Linked DNA regions of Notamacropus eugenii. The protein of the gene in region 1 purifies or fractionates together with the protein of each later gene. This does not show direct contact. Links are inferred from orthologs where the notes say so. Each region holds a gene or a part of one and is shown in the gene's direction. Other genes may lie near its edges.

Region 1 (7,824 bases):
GCACTGAAGCACTGCATCAATGTGATCTGTGATGATAGTGATTTCCCCTTGAGAAGAACTGATGAAGTTCATCCATTCCTATCCAATCCAAGAAACATTTATTTAGTGTTTGCTAGTAGCTAGTGTTTGCACTGAGGTTACTGCCCTAGTGGGAAATTCTGCTTGGCTTAGAGAGGTAGGGAGAGGAGAGATACAACGTGTAAATAGATAGATATACACATGATCATTAATCAGGCCAAGTTTAGTGTGGAAAGTTAAATGAATAGACAGAAGGTTTGCATTGACTCTGAAACTGAATACTCATGTAAGTCTAAGAAAGTTCTGTGCTTAAGCATGTGTGGGTTTTAGTCAACGTGACTACTGAGTAATATACAGAAGTAATTGTATTTTCAGTATTCATATTTATAAATTTTAGCTCTAATTGTGTTCTGAACTATTAAAGTTTCACATAATTGAATAAGGATGAATTAGGATGTACGGCTTTGCTTAAGCAGAACTTAAAGTGCCAGCTGTTTATTCTTTTGTGACTAACATTTCTTTCTAAGTCTTAATCTATACTGTGGAAAGACTAGCTTTCTGTTCAGTTAAGGGTTTGGCTAGATAACCTTTGAAAATCCTTTGAACTCAGGAATTCTGTGATTTCTGTGGAATATTTTACATGGAGTATTATCCATTTTAGAAAAAAAACACCAAGCAGAGCTATAATTCTTCTCTCCTCAGCCTCTCAATGAGGCCCTAGATCAACCCCCTTGACGATCAATGAACAATATGCTCTCCTAGGGCTAGCTTCTCCCATCCATCTTCCTTCACCTGTTGTCTCATCCTTTTCTCTCTTTGGAGGGAAGGTATTGGGTTTCATCAGATCAGCCTTGGAGGAATAGGTCAGACTCTTTAACTTTCCCTCACACAAATGAATTTAACTTATCAGGATTAAGGCATCCCATCATCAGCCTTACAGAACCATCTCAGATTTTCAGTGGGGGAATGAAGAGGAAGTAGTTATAGTGATAGCATTTAACCACCACATCCATCTTGAAACACCAACCAAAAAAATCTAACCCAAGCATTAGAGGGTCATCTATACCAGGCTTTCTCTAAAGAACTTGGGGTTAGTAGGGTTTCTAGTAGAAGTCTTACTACTACATAACTTTTTGCAGCAGTGTAGTATTTATTTAATAGCTACCAATTATATAGCATAATAGCTAACATATACATCTATATAGATATAGATATGGTCTTTTAAGATTTTCAACCTTTAATACTTTATCTGATCCTTACAACAATCTGCAAGATACAATTCATAGAGTACTAGACTCGGAGTCAGGAAGGCCTGGGTTCAAATTCTGCTCAGAAATATACTAGCTGTGTAACCCAGGGCAAGTCACTTAGCTTTCCTGGGACTCAGTTTCCTCATCTGAAAATGAGACGGTTGAATTCAATGACCTCTAAGGTCCCTTCCAGCCCTACACCTATGATCTAATGATCCTCTGTATCACCAGAGGCCCTCAACAAATACCATAGGTTTGATGTTTTTTTTTTTTTTATTGTTTTTTACAGCATACCTGGGAAGTAGGCATCTCATCTTTTGTTGAGGTAGATAAGTCTTAAATTACAACCTGGTTATTTCTGTGATATTCTCAAGCACATAGCCATTCAATGAAATGTTTATTTATTGAAGAGAAAATAATAATGTTATATAAAGTTCATTAATTTTGGATTCCATTCATTCATATTATATGACCCCAGATATTACCTTTTCACCATTCACAAAGAAAAAATGTGTTAATCAAATTAATGAAGAATGACTTTAGGCAAGACACTTCTCCTCTCTGTATCTCAATCTCTTCAACTCTAAAACCAGGATAACAATTACTTACCTGATGAGTCTGTTGTCAGAAAATGTTTTGGAAAACTATATGTAGACAAGCTATTTTTACTTAGTGTGCTGAAAGGCATATTCTACTGGAGTATTGTAGGAGTGGACCTTGTATTATACAACATCTGTCTTCCTAAAAAGTTGTGTAAGTTGAATTTCTGTAAGTAGAATATCCCATTTCAAATGCAGTAAGGATAGAACTATATACTGAGCGGTAGCATGAAGTAGTGAACACAGCAATGAATCTAGAAACAGGTGACGCCTGGCTTCAAATCTCTCTTGTTCAGGTGCATTTGACTCTTTGAGATCTCATGCACCATATCCTTCACTTTCTCTTGAAGTCTGTCCACGTTAATTCATTGTTTCCAAGATACCATCTATCCATTACATCCTTTGCTGTTTCCTTTTCCTTTTGCCTTCAATCTTTCCCAACATCAGGGTCTTTTCCAGTGACTCCCATCTTCTCATTGTATGGCCAAAGTAATTAAGTTTCAGCTTCAGTATTTGACCTTCGAGTGAACAGCCTGAATTAATTTCTTTGACTATTAACTGATTTGACCTCCTTGCTATCCAAGTGACTCTCAAAAGTGTTCTCCAGTACCACAAGTGGAAAGCATCTATCTGCAGCACTCAGCTTTCCTTACATATAGTTCACTTCATAGCCACACATTGCTATTGGAAAAACTAGAGCTTTGACTATACAGACCTTTGTTGGTAATGTAATATCTCTGCTTTTTAGTATGCTGTCCAGATTCGCCATAGCTTTGCTTCCAAAGAGCAAGTGTCTTTTAATTTCATAGATGCAGTTTCTGTCTGCAGAGATCGTTGAGCTTAAGAATATGTGAAATGTGACACCACTTCCATTTCTTCTCCCTCTATATTTGCCAGGAACTGATGAGACCAATTGCCAAGATCTTAATTTTTTTTTAATATTGAGTTTCAAGCCAGCTTTTCTACTCTCCTCTTTCACCTTCATCAAGAGGCATCTTAATTCCTCTTCACTTTTTGCCATCAGAGTGGTTGCATCTGCATATCTGAGATTGTTGATATTTCTTCCAGTATCTTTAATTCCAGTTTCTGATTTATCTGACTCCCTGTCTTAAACCAAGCAGTTGTTCCATGTTTAATTCTAACTGTTGCTTCTTAGCTCCCTTAGAGGTTCCTCAAGAGACAAAACAGATGATCTGGTAATCTCTTTGAGGTCTTGCCTCAACTTGTGTTGTGATCTACTCAGTCAAGGTTTTTGATATAGTCAATGAAGCAGAAGGAGATGTTTTTCTGGAACTCCCTTGCTTTTCTCCATAATCCAACCAATTTTGGCAATTTAGTTTCTAGTTCCTCTGTCTCTTTGAAAACAAGTTTGCTCTTCTGGTAATTCTCAGTTCACATATTGTTGAAGCTTAGCTTGCTGAATCTTAAGCATAACCTTGCTGGTATGTGAAACGAGTGTAATTGTTTGGTTATCTGAAAATTCCTTGGCATTGCCCTTCTTTAGGATTGGGAAATAAATTGATCTAGCTTAGCTAGATTTCTATCATCTCGGCCTTATTGTTAAAAATACTTCCTAAGGCCCACTTGACTTCATTCTCTAGGATGTCTGGCTTTAGATCTGTAATCATACCACTGTGGCTATTGGTGATGGTAAGATCTTTCTTGCATAGTTCTTTTATGTATTCTTGTCACCTTTTCTTCATCTTTTCTGTTTCTGTTAAATCCTTATCGTTTTTATCTTTTACCATGCCCGTTTTTGCACGGCACGTTCCCTCAAAAGCTCTAATTTTCTTGGAGATCATTTGTTTTTCTCATTCTGTTGATTTCTTCACATTCTCATTTAAGAAAATCTTATCTCTCCTTACTATTCTCTGGAATTCTGTCTTCAGCTGGGCATACATTCCCCTTTTTCCTTTACCTTCTGCGTTCCTAATCTCTAGTCAGTTATTTTCCTGACCATGGAAAGGAAAGATTGTGCAGCAATGGAAAGAAGATAGAATTTGGAGTCAGGAGAACTTGTGTTCAAGTTCAGGTTTTGTTATTTATTAAATGCATGACTTCCCTTCAGGGGAGCCTAGGCACCCTTGTATGTAAAAAAGGAAAATTTTAGACCAGACCATTTCTAAGTTTTTTCTTCTCCAGTCTAAATAATAAAAACTACTCCCATACAATCAATGATTATCATATTTACTCATTATCTAAGCAAGTTTGAGTATTTCAAGGAAATGATTTTTTTTTGTAAAATAAGTAGTCTTGGCTCCTTGTCCACCTTCATTTGTTTTATTGTCTGGATTCCGTACATCAAGTTTTCTTAAAGCGAGGCTGTCCCCCGATCTAACTTAAGGTCAGTGCCAGATTTTTTGCATATGAGGTCATTTGGAATAAGTTACACTCATTTCCAGAAGCTAAGACTTTTCAACCTAGTGTAGCTCAGGACAAATTTTGCGCCCAGAAATCTAAGTTGGTCAGAGCGCGGGCTCCTTTAGTTCTTTTGAAACGAGCTCGACGCAGAAGCCCGACTGCCCTTAAGTGACATGGCAGCCCCACAGTGTCCGCGGCGGAATGTGCCCTCAGCTATGATGGCGGCTGCCCTACCCTTGCCTGGACCGCGGCCCTTTGCCCTCAGTTAATATGGCGCCCTCTGGGATTTCCTCGGGACAGCCCTCATCCTGGCCCCGCCTCTTTGGCTTCAGGGGAAGCGCGGAAGCCCCGCCTCATTTCCGGAGAAAGCCGTCAAAAGAAAAAAAAGACTGAAAAAAGGCCCAGGAAGATGGCGGTGCTGGCGGGGCGGGGGCGGTGGCTTGGGGTTTGAATTCTAGCGGCGCCAGAGGAGTCTGGACGATCGGCTCCGCGGGTGGAGCGGGGGAAGGCCCCGCCTGGCCCGGGGAGCCGCAGCCAGCCGCTGCCGTCGCCATGGACTCGGTGCCGGGGGAGGACGCCACCCTGCCAGTGGGGCTCAACGGCAGCAGGTGGGCCTCGGCGGGCGGGTAGAGGGCGGCCGCCGCACGGGGGGCGCAGGCTCGGCGGCCCCGCGGGGTCCGCGCCAAGGGGGGTGGGGCTTAGTTCGTGAGAAGTAGTTTGGGACCAGCTTTTTGGGGGGTCCCTGGGGATGGTAGATAGGATTCGGGGTGCTGAATAGTTTGAATTGGGGGTGATGAAAAGGGATGGAGGTCAGTGTGAGGGTAATTTGTGGGGTGCTTTAGGGCCAGGTGAGGTTGGGAGGGGCTGAGATACTTCAGAGAAGGGGATGTTTGCGTGTGTAGGTGTAGTTTAAGGAGAGGGATAATTTGGGGGTGTAGAGGTAGCTTTGGGTGAAGGGGTGATTTGGGGATGGGGTAGTTTAGGGTAAAGGAATGAAGTGGAAGTGTAGGGGTGATATAGAGCGAAGGGGTGCTTGGGGTGTAGCAGTAGTGTAGGGCGAAAAAGATGATTTAGGGGTGTAAACAGTTCAGGGGGACATAGAGGTAGTTTGGGGTGAGGAGCTAATTAGGGGAATTTATGGTGGAGTGATGAATCAGGTTTCGGGTAGTTTAGGGGTGTGTGTGTGTGTGTGTGTGTGTGTGACTTTCAGGTGGGAGTGATTTGAGTATGGGGGTACTTCAAGACAAGAAATGATTTGTGCGTGTAATTCTGGGGTGAGGGGATGATTTTGAGGGGCAGTGTGCTTCATAGGGAGGGCTAGTTAGGGGTTTGGAGACAAAGAGTTAAAGAGTTCCTTGAAGATTCTCGGAGTCATCTGAGAAAAGACACAAGGAGGCCAGGGTCTCTGGCTTGCAAGTGGTGGGTGTAAGATGTAAGAAGACTGGACAGCTCGGAAGAGGCCAGGTTATGGGGGCCTTTGAAGAGCCAAACAGGATTTTATATTTGATTCTGGAGGCAATAGGAAGACTGGAGATTATTGGGGAGGGGACAATAGGCAATTTAGGAAAGTCACTTGGACAGATGAGTGGTGTATTTGTGTGGGGGAGAGACTTGAGGCATGGAGACCAAGGGCAGGCTATTGCAATAGCCCAGGCATGAGGTGGTAGGGATGTAGTTTGGGGATATGGGGAGTTGAGGTCAAAGACTTGAGTGATTGGGGGTTGCAGGGTTAGAGTTTAGGGTGGAGGGAATTTGAGGGTATGGAAGAATCATTTTAGTATGTGGGGGTGCAGTGGGACAAAGTGACTTGGAATTATAGAATAGTTTGTGTATGCAGTATACTTTGGTGAAGTCACTTCATGTGTAGGGATGATTTGAATGGAGAGTAGTTTATGTGAAGGTATGTTGAGAGATTCAGATAGGTGTAATAGTGGGATGTAGATAGGGGTACTGGAAGTAGTTTAAGGTACACTGGAAGGCAAGATATAGGAGTTGATGTGATTTAGGTTGCAGGAAATAGTTTTGGGTTCATTGTTATTGATAATCAAGGTGAGAGGTGGTGAGTACCAGAACTGAAGTGATAGTGAGTGGAGATAGGGGTCTGAGAATGTGAGAGTTGTTTGTGATTGTAGAATGCCATAATTTGGCAACTGAATGGATGTCAGGTGAGGGGGAATGAGGGGTTGAGTGAGGATAACACAGGGGTTACAAATCTGGGAGATTAGAAGGATGATAGTGTCTGACTGAAATAGGGAAATTTGGAAAAAGAGGGGATTGGGGAGGAAAGATGATGCATTCCGTTTTGGACATGTTGTTTGAGGTATCTAATAGCTGATGTGGGACTGATGCCAGGGAGACTGGGGCTTGTTATATAGATCTGGGAGTAATTTAGAGAGGGATGATAGTTAAATTGTGGGAGATAAATTGTAAAGGGAGAAAAGTGATTCTGCCTTAGGGAATACCTACAATTGGGGGGAAGCCTAAGATAGATGATAATTCACTAAAGGAGACTGAGGAGTGGTCAGACAAATAGAAGAACCAGGAGAAAGACATAGAAAGACTGAAAAGACCATCAGATTTGGCAGTTGAAAGATCATTGGTAATTTAGGGCAGCTTGGTGGTGCACTGGATAGAGTGTTCTGCCTGAAATTAGGAAGAGTCATCTTCTTGAGCTCAAGACACACTAACTGTGTGACCCTGGCCAAGTCACTTAACCCTGTTTACCTCAGTTTACTCATCTGTAAAATGAGCTGGAGAAGGGATTGGCAAACCACTCTTGTATCTTTGCCAAGAAAACCAAAATAGGGTTTGGAGAAGTTAGACTTGAATGAAAAATGACCACAAACTTTGGAGGGGACAGTTTCAGTTGAGTGATGAGGTTAGAAGCCAGAATACAAAGGCTGAAGTGTAAGAGGAGAAGAATTTGGCTGAGAAGTGGAGGAGAAAAAGGACAGTAGCTTGAGGGGAGATTGGTAGGATCTAATAAAAGGTTTTTTTTAAGTATAGGGGAGAATTGGACATGTTTGTAGGCAGTAGAGAAGAAACTAATAGAGAAAGGCTAAGAAGGGAATTGACTAAAGGTTCACTGAGCTGGAGGAGACAAAGATGGGATGAGATCTAGGAAGCACGTAGGGGGCTGCTCTTGACAAAGAGTGAGGCCACCTATATGTGGGGAGGGGAAAGTGAGGTTGGCTGTGACAAAAAAAAAAATCAAGCAGAAAAATCTGATAACAGTGACTGAGTTTGAATATGTATATATATCCAATATTCTGTCTTAGTGACTGCCAACTCCTGCCATACTGAAGCAGGTATGTTTCATTATCTGTGCTTTAGGGCCTTCACTAATTTTTTCCAGAAATTTGAAAAAATGTATTATTTAATTAGTTTATTTTCTTTTTAAATTTTTAGTTTCAGATTTTCTCTCTCCCTCTCATCCCTCCCCCACACACTATGAAGGCAAACAATATGATATCAATTATATATGTGAAATTATACAAAACATATTTCCCTATTAGCCATATCATAAAAAAATGCCAAAAAAATTAAAACAAGAAAATTTTATTCCAGTTTGCACTCAGAATTCATCACTTCTCTCT
Region 2 (8,420 bases), on another chromosome or scaffold:
TTACTGATCACATCAGGACCATGGGGGATAAACCCCACCCTGGGTGTACAGATTCCTGACTGAGCCAGCAGTGATTCCAACGGCACGTTTCCTGGGGCATGTCCTTCACAGGTCAGGAGTAAGAGAAATGTCACTTTGCTGTGCTGTTTGTCCTTCCTTGTTGAAGCAGACCATGACATCAAGATGATGGCATCACTTGCAGTTGACCTTGTTTTGAGTGAGAGGGCTGTGCAGGATCACCAGCCTTACTTTCTTCTCCTGAGCCATTGGGGTCCAGTGGCCTGATATTCATCAGGATAACTGGAGATGACCCCGAAACTTCACACGCTCATATGGAAATGTGCTTTTCTATACTGACATGCTTTCCTGCCTTCTGAAGCTGGCCTCTGCTGCTCTGCCCGGCTTCAGGTGAGGAGCCATACCCAGAGGATAGTGTTAACCTGGAAGGCATTCCAACCCCACCCAGGCACAGCTCCTCCAGGAAGGCAGGACTCTTGGAATCCTGAACAAAAAAAGAACTCGGGGGAGGCCCAGGCCCATGACTGAGGGCACTGCCTGGAGAGGGGTGAGCTTGGGAGCCTTTGTTTCTCTCCTGTATCTCCAGTGCTTTGCCTGACACACACACAGAAGATACTTAACAAATGAGATCATGGAAAATGCTGAATAAGTGTAAAGGCTGATTATGCTTACTAGTCATTACCTATATAGCATGGATTCACTTTTCATAATTTATAATATTCATATAGGCAGCAGGGTGGTCCAGTGTGTACAGAGCCTGACCTGGAGACAGGAAGATCCCAGTTCAAATCCAGTCTCTGATGTACTAGCTGGGTGACCCTGGGAAAGTCACCTAACTCTGTTTCCCTCATTTTCCTCATCTGTATGATGAGCTAGGGAAGAAAATGGCAAACACTACGGTGTCTCTGCTAAGAAAACCCCAAATGGGATCACAGAGAGCCGTTCATGGACCAAAACAACTGGACAACAAGAAACAGAGAGTTTGATCAGTAGAACAGCATAAATGTACAATATGCTGAAGCAAATGAGGCAGCTGCCTAGTATCTGAGAAACCCAAAGATCCTGGCTACTTGGCTAGCAACTCACGATTCAATAAAAAACTATTAGGAAAACTGGAAAGAAGCCTGGTAGAAACGAGGTCTAGATCAGAGGTGGTCCCAGACCAGATGAAAATTTAACTGGGAAATACTTAACAAAATAAATAAAGATACCTGGCATGGGTGATGTCTTTTGATTCATGTATAAATTGGATTTAAGTGAGGTAGAGCTGCACAAAGTCATAGGCCTTACTCTGTCCTCCAGTCAACACAGTCCATTGGCAGGATGACTGGTGATGGCTCTGGATGCAGTGGATGACTTTAGTGTCTTTGTTTTCTGACCAGCCTCCCAACCTTCCAACCAAGCCATTGGAAGAAATTGTTCTCATTCGCCCATCCCATCAGGGGAAGTCTTCACATGCTTGGGGCAGAGCCCCCCAAGCTCACCGATGGGTTTGAGGCTGGTTGGTTAACCTCAGCCTGGTTTGGCCCATATGCCAAAATGATTTACTGGGGTGTGGATGCTGTGCATGCTACAGTTTCTTGGAGCCACAGGTGAGAGTTAGATGGATCACGTAGACACTGAAGGTGGAAGAAGCCCTCACACCAGAGGTCCTAGTCTTCCCTGAACACACCATTACATTTGAAAACTGCCAATATGCACGCTGCAGGGATTCTTCTATTCAGATTAATGGCCCCCACTTCTATCTGAGTTTGCCAGCCCTGGTCTAGACCAACACCTCCCACTATACCCCATGACAAGTTCCAAACAGGTGAGTGACAGCTATAGAAGAGGCACCATGAACAAATTAAAGAAGCAAGGAAGCACTTACCTGCTAGATCGATTGATAGGGGAAGAGTTCAGGACCGAATCCTCTCCAGAGGATCACAGAAGAGAAAATGGACAATTTTGATTACATAAGAAGAAAAAGCTTTTGCAGAAACAAAACCAATTCAGCTAAAGTGAGAAGAGAAGCAGGTAAGTGGGAAAGAGATCTTCTGAACCAGGTTTGCAGCAAGTTCCTCTGATAAAGGTCTCATTTCTAAGATATACAGTGAACTGTTTCAAATTTCTAATAAGACTCATTTCCCCAGTACATAGTCAAAGCAAAGACAGTTTTCAGAGGAAGAAATTGAAACTATCAATAGCAACATGAAAAGTCCTTGAAATGACTAATAATTAGATCAATGCAAATGAAAACAGCTCCTACTCTGACATTTACTCTGTAGGGTTCTCTGCGGAATGAGTGAGTTCAACTTTGTCAACCCAAACGATGGCCACTGGAGAGCACAAGTTAGGGCCTTCCAGGCGGAGTCTAGAACCCTATGGGCACCAGAGACCATATGGACCAAGCTCCTCCTTTTACAGATGAGGAAACTTAAGGCCCCTGTGACTTTCTCATAAGACAGCCCCAATACTTTTCCATATGGCATCTCCTCAGGATAATTAATCCCTGATGCAGCTTATAGAGAGTTCCTTAGCGTGAAAGACATTGAGTTAAGTTTCCACAGTAAGTTATTGTTAATTGATGAAGTCATTGAGAATAAGTTAGATAAGAAGGCCAGCAGACTGCAGGTAAACTCAATCAACCAAAAGACAGACGGTGGCCTTCAGAAAATTACAAAGTTTTTGATAAAGGCACCAAATCTACAGCTAGCTGGAACTAGCCAAGAAAAATGACCTACAGTTACCTGGAGGCCTCATGCATATAAGCAGACACACCCCAAATAAAATTATACCTCCATTTTCTGATCATGGGTCCTATGATAAAGCATGTTTGGGAGGGGGAATCACACTAAGGAAGGTTATGTATTGGGCATGTAGAGAAGATGGTGACCTAATGGAGAATGGACCAATCCATCTTCTGGTGGAAGGATCTGTCTTGGAGTAACAGTATATAGCTCATCTCCCTTCTGTATTCAGTGCTCCCTCCTCTTGAAAAGAGGGTGGGGGCCCGCTTTGGCCAAAGTGTTCAATTCCTCTGAACTCTGCTGTAATATTTCCTTGATACCTTTTTAGTGTCACAAATGTTTCTAACATTAGCTTATAAGCTACTTAAGAGCAGGGACTTTCTTCTGCCTTCTTTGTATCCCCAGTGCCTGGCACATAAAAAGCATTTTTTCCTCAGAAGCCTGTGATGCCTATGGTTTGTTGATTACTGCTATCTTCATTTTACCAAGGGGGAAACCAGGCTCAGAGAGGGAGAGTGACTTTCCTGTGATCACACAGGTTTGCAAGTTAATTAGCATTTTCTGCATGTTAGGTATTGTGCCAAATTCTGAAAGCGGAAACGCAGCCCCTGACCTTTAGGAGCTCAGAAGGTGGGTTTTTAGCTGAGATTTAAGGAAGGTGAGGGGCAGGGAAGCCAGGCAAGTAAGGTCAAGTATTATAGGTATAAAAGAGCCAATGTCAAGATATGGAGGTGAGAGATAGAGAGAAACAGAGTCAATGGATCGTGGAGGATGGAAAGCACTAAGGTATAAGGAGACTGAAAAGGTGATGGTGGGGGTGTGGGGTCTAACACCTTGGCAGGGCTTTCAAAGCCCACACGATGTTTTGCATTGGCTTCAGGAGTGAACCACGGAGGTATCCTGACCAGTGGCAGCAGGTGGGGATGCACTGAGTCAGGGAGGCGGGTAAGAAGGTGGTGAGGCAGGGCCAGGCAGTCACCAGGGTTAGGCAGTGGGGACAAGCAGACTTAGCCTGGGAAGGGAGGAAGACACATAGGACATGTTGGCTACCAGTGGAGTGTACGGGGACTGAGGGGCTGGAGGGTCCTGCCCTGGAGAACCCAGGGCAGAGGGGAGATCCCTTTGAAAGCCTACAGGATGTCCAGGGATGCGGCCCCAGGTGGCAGGAAAGAGAGTGGGGCTGGACACACAGACCTGGGGATCACTGGCATGGAGAAGAGAACCGACCCCACAGGAGGGGAGAGAGCAGAGCAGGAAGTGCCCTCTATCAGGTGCATGCATGGAGGGCACGGGGAGGCATGAACTTACAGTGGAAAAAAACAACCTTCAGTTATTTAAAAACATTATTCTGAGAAAGGGTCCATTGGCTTCATTGGACTGCGGACCTCACCCACAGCCTTGTCAGTGGTTGAAGATCCAGACAAGGGGCCTGAGAGGAGGAGGATGGTGTCCTGGAGGGGGATGGACAGTGTCCTGGGGAGTTTGGACAGTATCCCCGGTTAATGAGAGATCTGAGAAGGGGCTGCCCCAGAAGTGGTCGTGGGAGGGGGGAAGCACGCCCCCTCCAGGGCACGTGTGGACATTCCACACCTGCGGCCCCTCCTGGCTGACCTGGCCTCAGCTTGGCCCCCCGGGGCCGAGGGGAAAGGGGCGGGGTGGATTGGTACCTTGGCCCCGCCCCCAAGCCGTCTCACTCCGCCCAGTCCCGGAGTTCCCGGGCTTCGGGCCCTGGCACAGATCCCAGCAGAGCCCCGAGGTCAGCCCGCCGCCTCAGTCTTTTTCCCGCCCGCGCCTCTGATTGGACAACGCGTTCCAGAGGCGCTAGGCGGGCCCTTTGAAATTGACCAAACAGAGGGCTCAGCTCGGTTGACGTCATAGCGCAGTAACCAATTCTTTCGTAAGGTAGGCGGAGCCTGGGCTGAGCGGAAAAAGGGAGGATACAGAGGCTAGCGGCCTGTCACTCAGAGCTGTACCAGGGCGGTTGGCTGGGAGGGGTCGGGTTTCCAGAAGAGCGCCCCGCCCCGAGCCCATGATTGGCAGGGCAGACGCGGGACGCCGTTCGCTTGTTGGCCAGTGCAGGCGTCCATCTGTGGGAGGACGCCGATGGGCGTGGGCGGGTTGGAGAGCGCTCGGAGGGTGCCCGGACCCGCCCCCTCGCTCCCGGTCAGTTAGGGGGCGGGGCGGCCGTGTCAATACAGCGGCTGCAGAGGCGGCGGCGGCGGAGGGTCGCGTCCGCCCCTGGGCCACGCGCGTATCCTCGCCGGGCCATGGAGTACGACGAGCAAGAGGAGCGGCGGCGCAAGGTGGAGGCCGGCCGGGCTAAGGTAAGGCCGACCCTGGCCGCCGCGTGGGATCTTCCCCTCCCCACAGAGCGCGAAGCTCGGGAGCCTGGGGAGGGGCGGGAAACCTGCGGTCCTGGGGGAGTGGGAAGGGGCCGCCTAGCACCGAGCCCGCTAGCTTGGCGGTCCCCGATCCCCCATCCCCGCCGGGGCCGCGCCTCTCTCGCGGGCTCGCCCGAAATCTTCCGCCTCCTGGCCGCCGCCATCTTGAATCCACCGCTCTTTCCTCGGCCCCGCCCCCTGCCTCCTGGCCAGTCATCGCGGGGTGGAGGCGGGGCCAGGCCCTGGAGGCCGGGGGGGTGGGGTGGAGCCTGACCACCGAGTCTCCCGGTCCTCCGCCTGCTAGAAGGTCCCGGAAGTGTAGGATACTGGCCGGAAGCGGGCTCACGCATTTCCGGCCTCTCTGGGGGCCCACCCTCTGGGCTCCGGGCGTGGCTTGGGGCGGAGTTGAGGAGGGGGCGTGTGCCTCCACCTCGGAGTGACGCTAGGGGTTTAGTGTGCTGGCTTCTCTGTGCACAGATGGGGAAACTGAGGCCCGCCCACCTGGACAGCTTGGGGCGACCTCCCTCGATGTACAGATGGAGAAACTGAGGCTGCCCCAGGGGAGGCCCACCTGCGGAGCCTGGTTTCCCCAAAGCCGGGCCTGAGCGCCGCGGTCACCCCGAAACAGTGGCCCAATTTGGAGGCGGCCCGCGAGGGGTCAGTGCGAAGGAGCGAGCCCCCTTCCCCCCAGAGGCCCCTGGGACCTCAGTACTACCAAGGCCCAGGCCCCCAAGAGAGCAGGGCCTCCCTCCAGGCCTGTGCTCAGTGCCCGAGCAGGGCCGGCTTCCCTGGCTGTAGGAGGGAGGTCATGGCCCAGGGTGGGTGACCAGTGCGGCCTCCGAGCCCAGCTTGGGGCTGATGATGGCGGGTCTTGCACAGTTGAAATATTGGTGCAGATTCTGGCTCGCCACAAGCAGGCTAGTGGAAAAGGCTGATCTCAGCTCAGGGAGCTAAGGAGAGAGGGTTCTGATGGGTGACATGGTTTGGAGGTCCCTGGTGCTTTGTGCACCGGGATACTTCAGAAAAGTAGAGCATCTGATTCTTTCAAGGAGGAGAGGCAATTGACCCAGCTTAATGAATTTTTTGCTATTTCTGTAGATGTGGCTCAGAATCAGTGGCTCCAAGTTTGACTCCTGGTTTTCTGCTTTGGGGGCAGGGGGAGCAGGCGAATGAAAGGGCCCGACTCGCCTCTCAGTTCATTTCCATGCCTTGGCGAAGTTGATGACCACTTGATAACTTCCTGCCAGTGACCATAGCTAGCAGGCTGCTTGTCAGCTGTTACTTAATTCCCCTGACCTGTTTGTAGGGCCCCAATAACTTGGGGACTTGGATGTCATTTTCATTTCCATTAGAACCCTGCAGACGGCACCCTGCTGTTTTGGCTGGGGATGCCTTTGGTCAGGGCTGAGGCCTAAGTTGGCCACCTGGATCCTTGATAGCTAGGGAGTCCCCGTGGATTTTTATGCACAGTCCCATTAAGCCATTCCATGTTCTCTTCCACAGGGGTGTTCACTTTGTGGTCCTGTTACGGTTTTCTCACTTATCTCTGTCTCTACTATTTCTTAACCTTCTTGTGTAGCTTGCTCAGTTCCGACAAAGAAAAACAAAAGGCGACAGTTCGAGTTCGAAGAAAAAGGCGTCGAAGAGGAAGAGCACGGCTGTCCATGCGGCTGTCACGGAGAAGGAGGAGGAGTGCACGGTAACACCCCCAGACCTGGAGCAGAGTGTGGACAGCAGGGGGGACGGTGACTGTGCTGAGGGGAGAGCCAGCGCCCTGGAGGCCAAGGTGAAGTGGCTGGAGGAGGGTGGGCTGGGGCTCTTGGTTTGCGTTATGTTGTTGTGATGGTTCCTCTCCTTTTAACGCACTAACCTCCGTGTCTGGTCTGTTTTTGGCTGCCATAAGTGGGAGGATGGGTTTCTTGTTTCCACAAGGTGAGTGAGCGGTGTTCTTTGCCCTGATGTTTCATACCTTGGTGCCATGGTCATTTTGAGAAACTCTCGTAGGCCTCATCCTCAATTGTTTTAATAAATATTGAGAGAATTAACTATGCCAGTTATGGTAGAGTTTCTGCTTAATTCAAATTGAGAACTCTCTTGAAACTTTCCATGTCCCCCAAATGCCTCCCCTCTTCCATTTCCCTCCCATCTTACTGCCCTTGAAGTGAGTGGGAATCCAAGGCATCGCATGGAGTTACAGATGTAGATCTAACTTCAGTGGCCCGACATCTTCCTAGGGCATCCCAGCGCAGGCTCTGCAGGAGGAGGAGGAAATTCGTCCAAGGTGTTAAGCAGAAGAGAGAAAAGGGAATGAGCATCAACCAGTTGTGTGGGACGTGGTGGGGTAATTGCTGTGAGGAATTCCTGGGTTAAGGGCTTAGCCTCAGTTTGTGGATTCCTAATTGCCCTGGGTTTGAGGTCAGCAAGGACACACTTTGTGTGGTGGTATCTCTGTATGGCATGGAGTCTGAGTGGGCAGCATGTGGGAGGTGGGAGGTCCTCTCAAAACCCATAAAGAGAAGTCTGAAGAATTTGGCTGTTTAAAAACAGTAGGGGTGGTACATGGAACTGTGAATGTTGAAGATGCCAAAGAGAACCAAGAGAACATTTATGTGCAGAACTGTTGATGTCGGCATTCTGAAATGAAAATGGCTGCTTGTCACTGCTCTCTTGTCATCCAGTATATTGAGAGCATCTAGTTTCCAGAATTTCCCCTATTTCTAACTCTCCTTTCTTTCCTCTTACTTGTAGTGCAGATGTTTGATAAGTATTTGTAGAATAATTTTATCTCTGGAGAGGTCCTTTGGAGCCAGCATCCTTGACCACCTGTCTCTGATATATGAAAATTTCCCATTATTCTCCTTCTTCAGGAAATTTGGGTATCAGATTTGCGTAGGCAGTGGGAAAGCATGGGTCTGTGAATGGCACTAACTACCATCACATCCCAATTGGCAAGGAGAATGTGCCCTGGCCCTCCGCTGGGTGGTATGGGTCAGGAGCACCCTGGAAAGCCTGCAGCTGTCATTTGTTGTTAGGGAGCAGCATGGATTAGGTGGTGAAGGCATTGACTTTTCTGCTTTCTCCTTAATGCTTTCTTTGTCTCTTAATTGACAAGGCTGAGACGGAGCTTTCCAATCTGGGAACGCAGAAGAAGCCACTTACTGAATTAGCTGGACAGGAACAAATATTCAAAGTAAGAACATTGTTTTATTTCCTACATTCAGTGTGAGTGTGTGTCTGGACGACTCTAGGTGCATTAGGATTTTGGCAGCTGGGTGGAATGATGAGTTTCCTG

The links.
Region 2: the proteins of CDK5RAP2 (region 1) and PCNT purify together in Homo sapiens (co-immunoprecipitation; 4 studies listed by BioGRID and IntAct, with this or other methods). This does not show direct contact. The link is inferred for Notamacropus eugenii from reciprocal best matches to the Homo sapiens genes CDK5RAP2 and PCNT.

Annotation. Positions count from the first base shown.
Region 1 is NC_092872.1:441,127,794-441,135,617, reverse strand, and holds the start of CDK5RAP2 (CDK5 regulatory subunit-associated protein 2), read left to right. Parts: upstream 1-4,605; 5' UTR 4,606-4,780; coding exon 4,781-4,836; intron 4,837-7,824. UniProt on the Homo sapiens protein: Potential regulator of CDK5 activity via its interaction with CDK5R1. Negative regulator of centriole disengagement (licensing) which maintains centriole engagement and cohesion. Involved in regulation of mitotic spindle orientation.
Region 2 is NC_092873.1:68,465,599-68,474,018, reverse strand, and holds the start of PCNT (pericentrin), read left to right. Parts: upstream 1-4,792; 5' UTR 4,793-5,014; coding exon 5,015-5,071; intron 5,072-6,707; coding exon 6,708-6,914; intron 6,915-8,240; coding exon 8,241-8,318; intron 8,319-8,420. UniProt on the Homo sapiens protein: Integral component of the filamentous matrix of the centrosome involved in the initial establishment of organized microtubule arrays in both mitosis and meiosis. Plays a role, together with DISC1, in the microtubule network formation.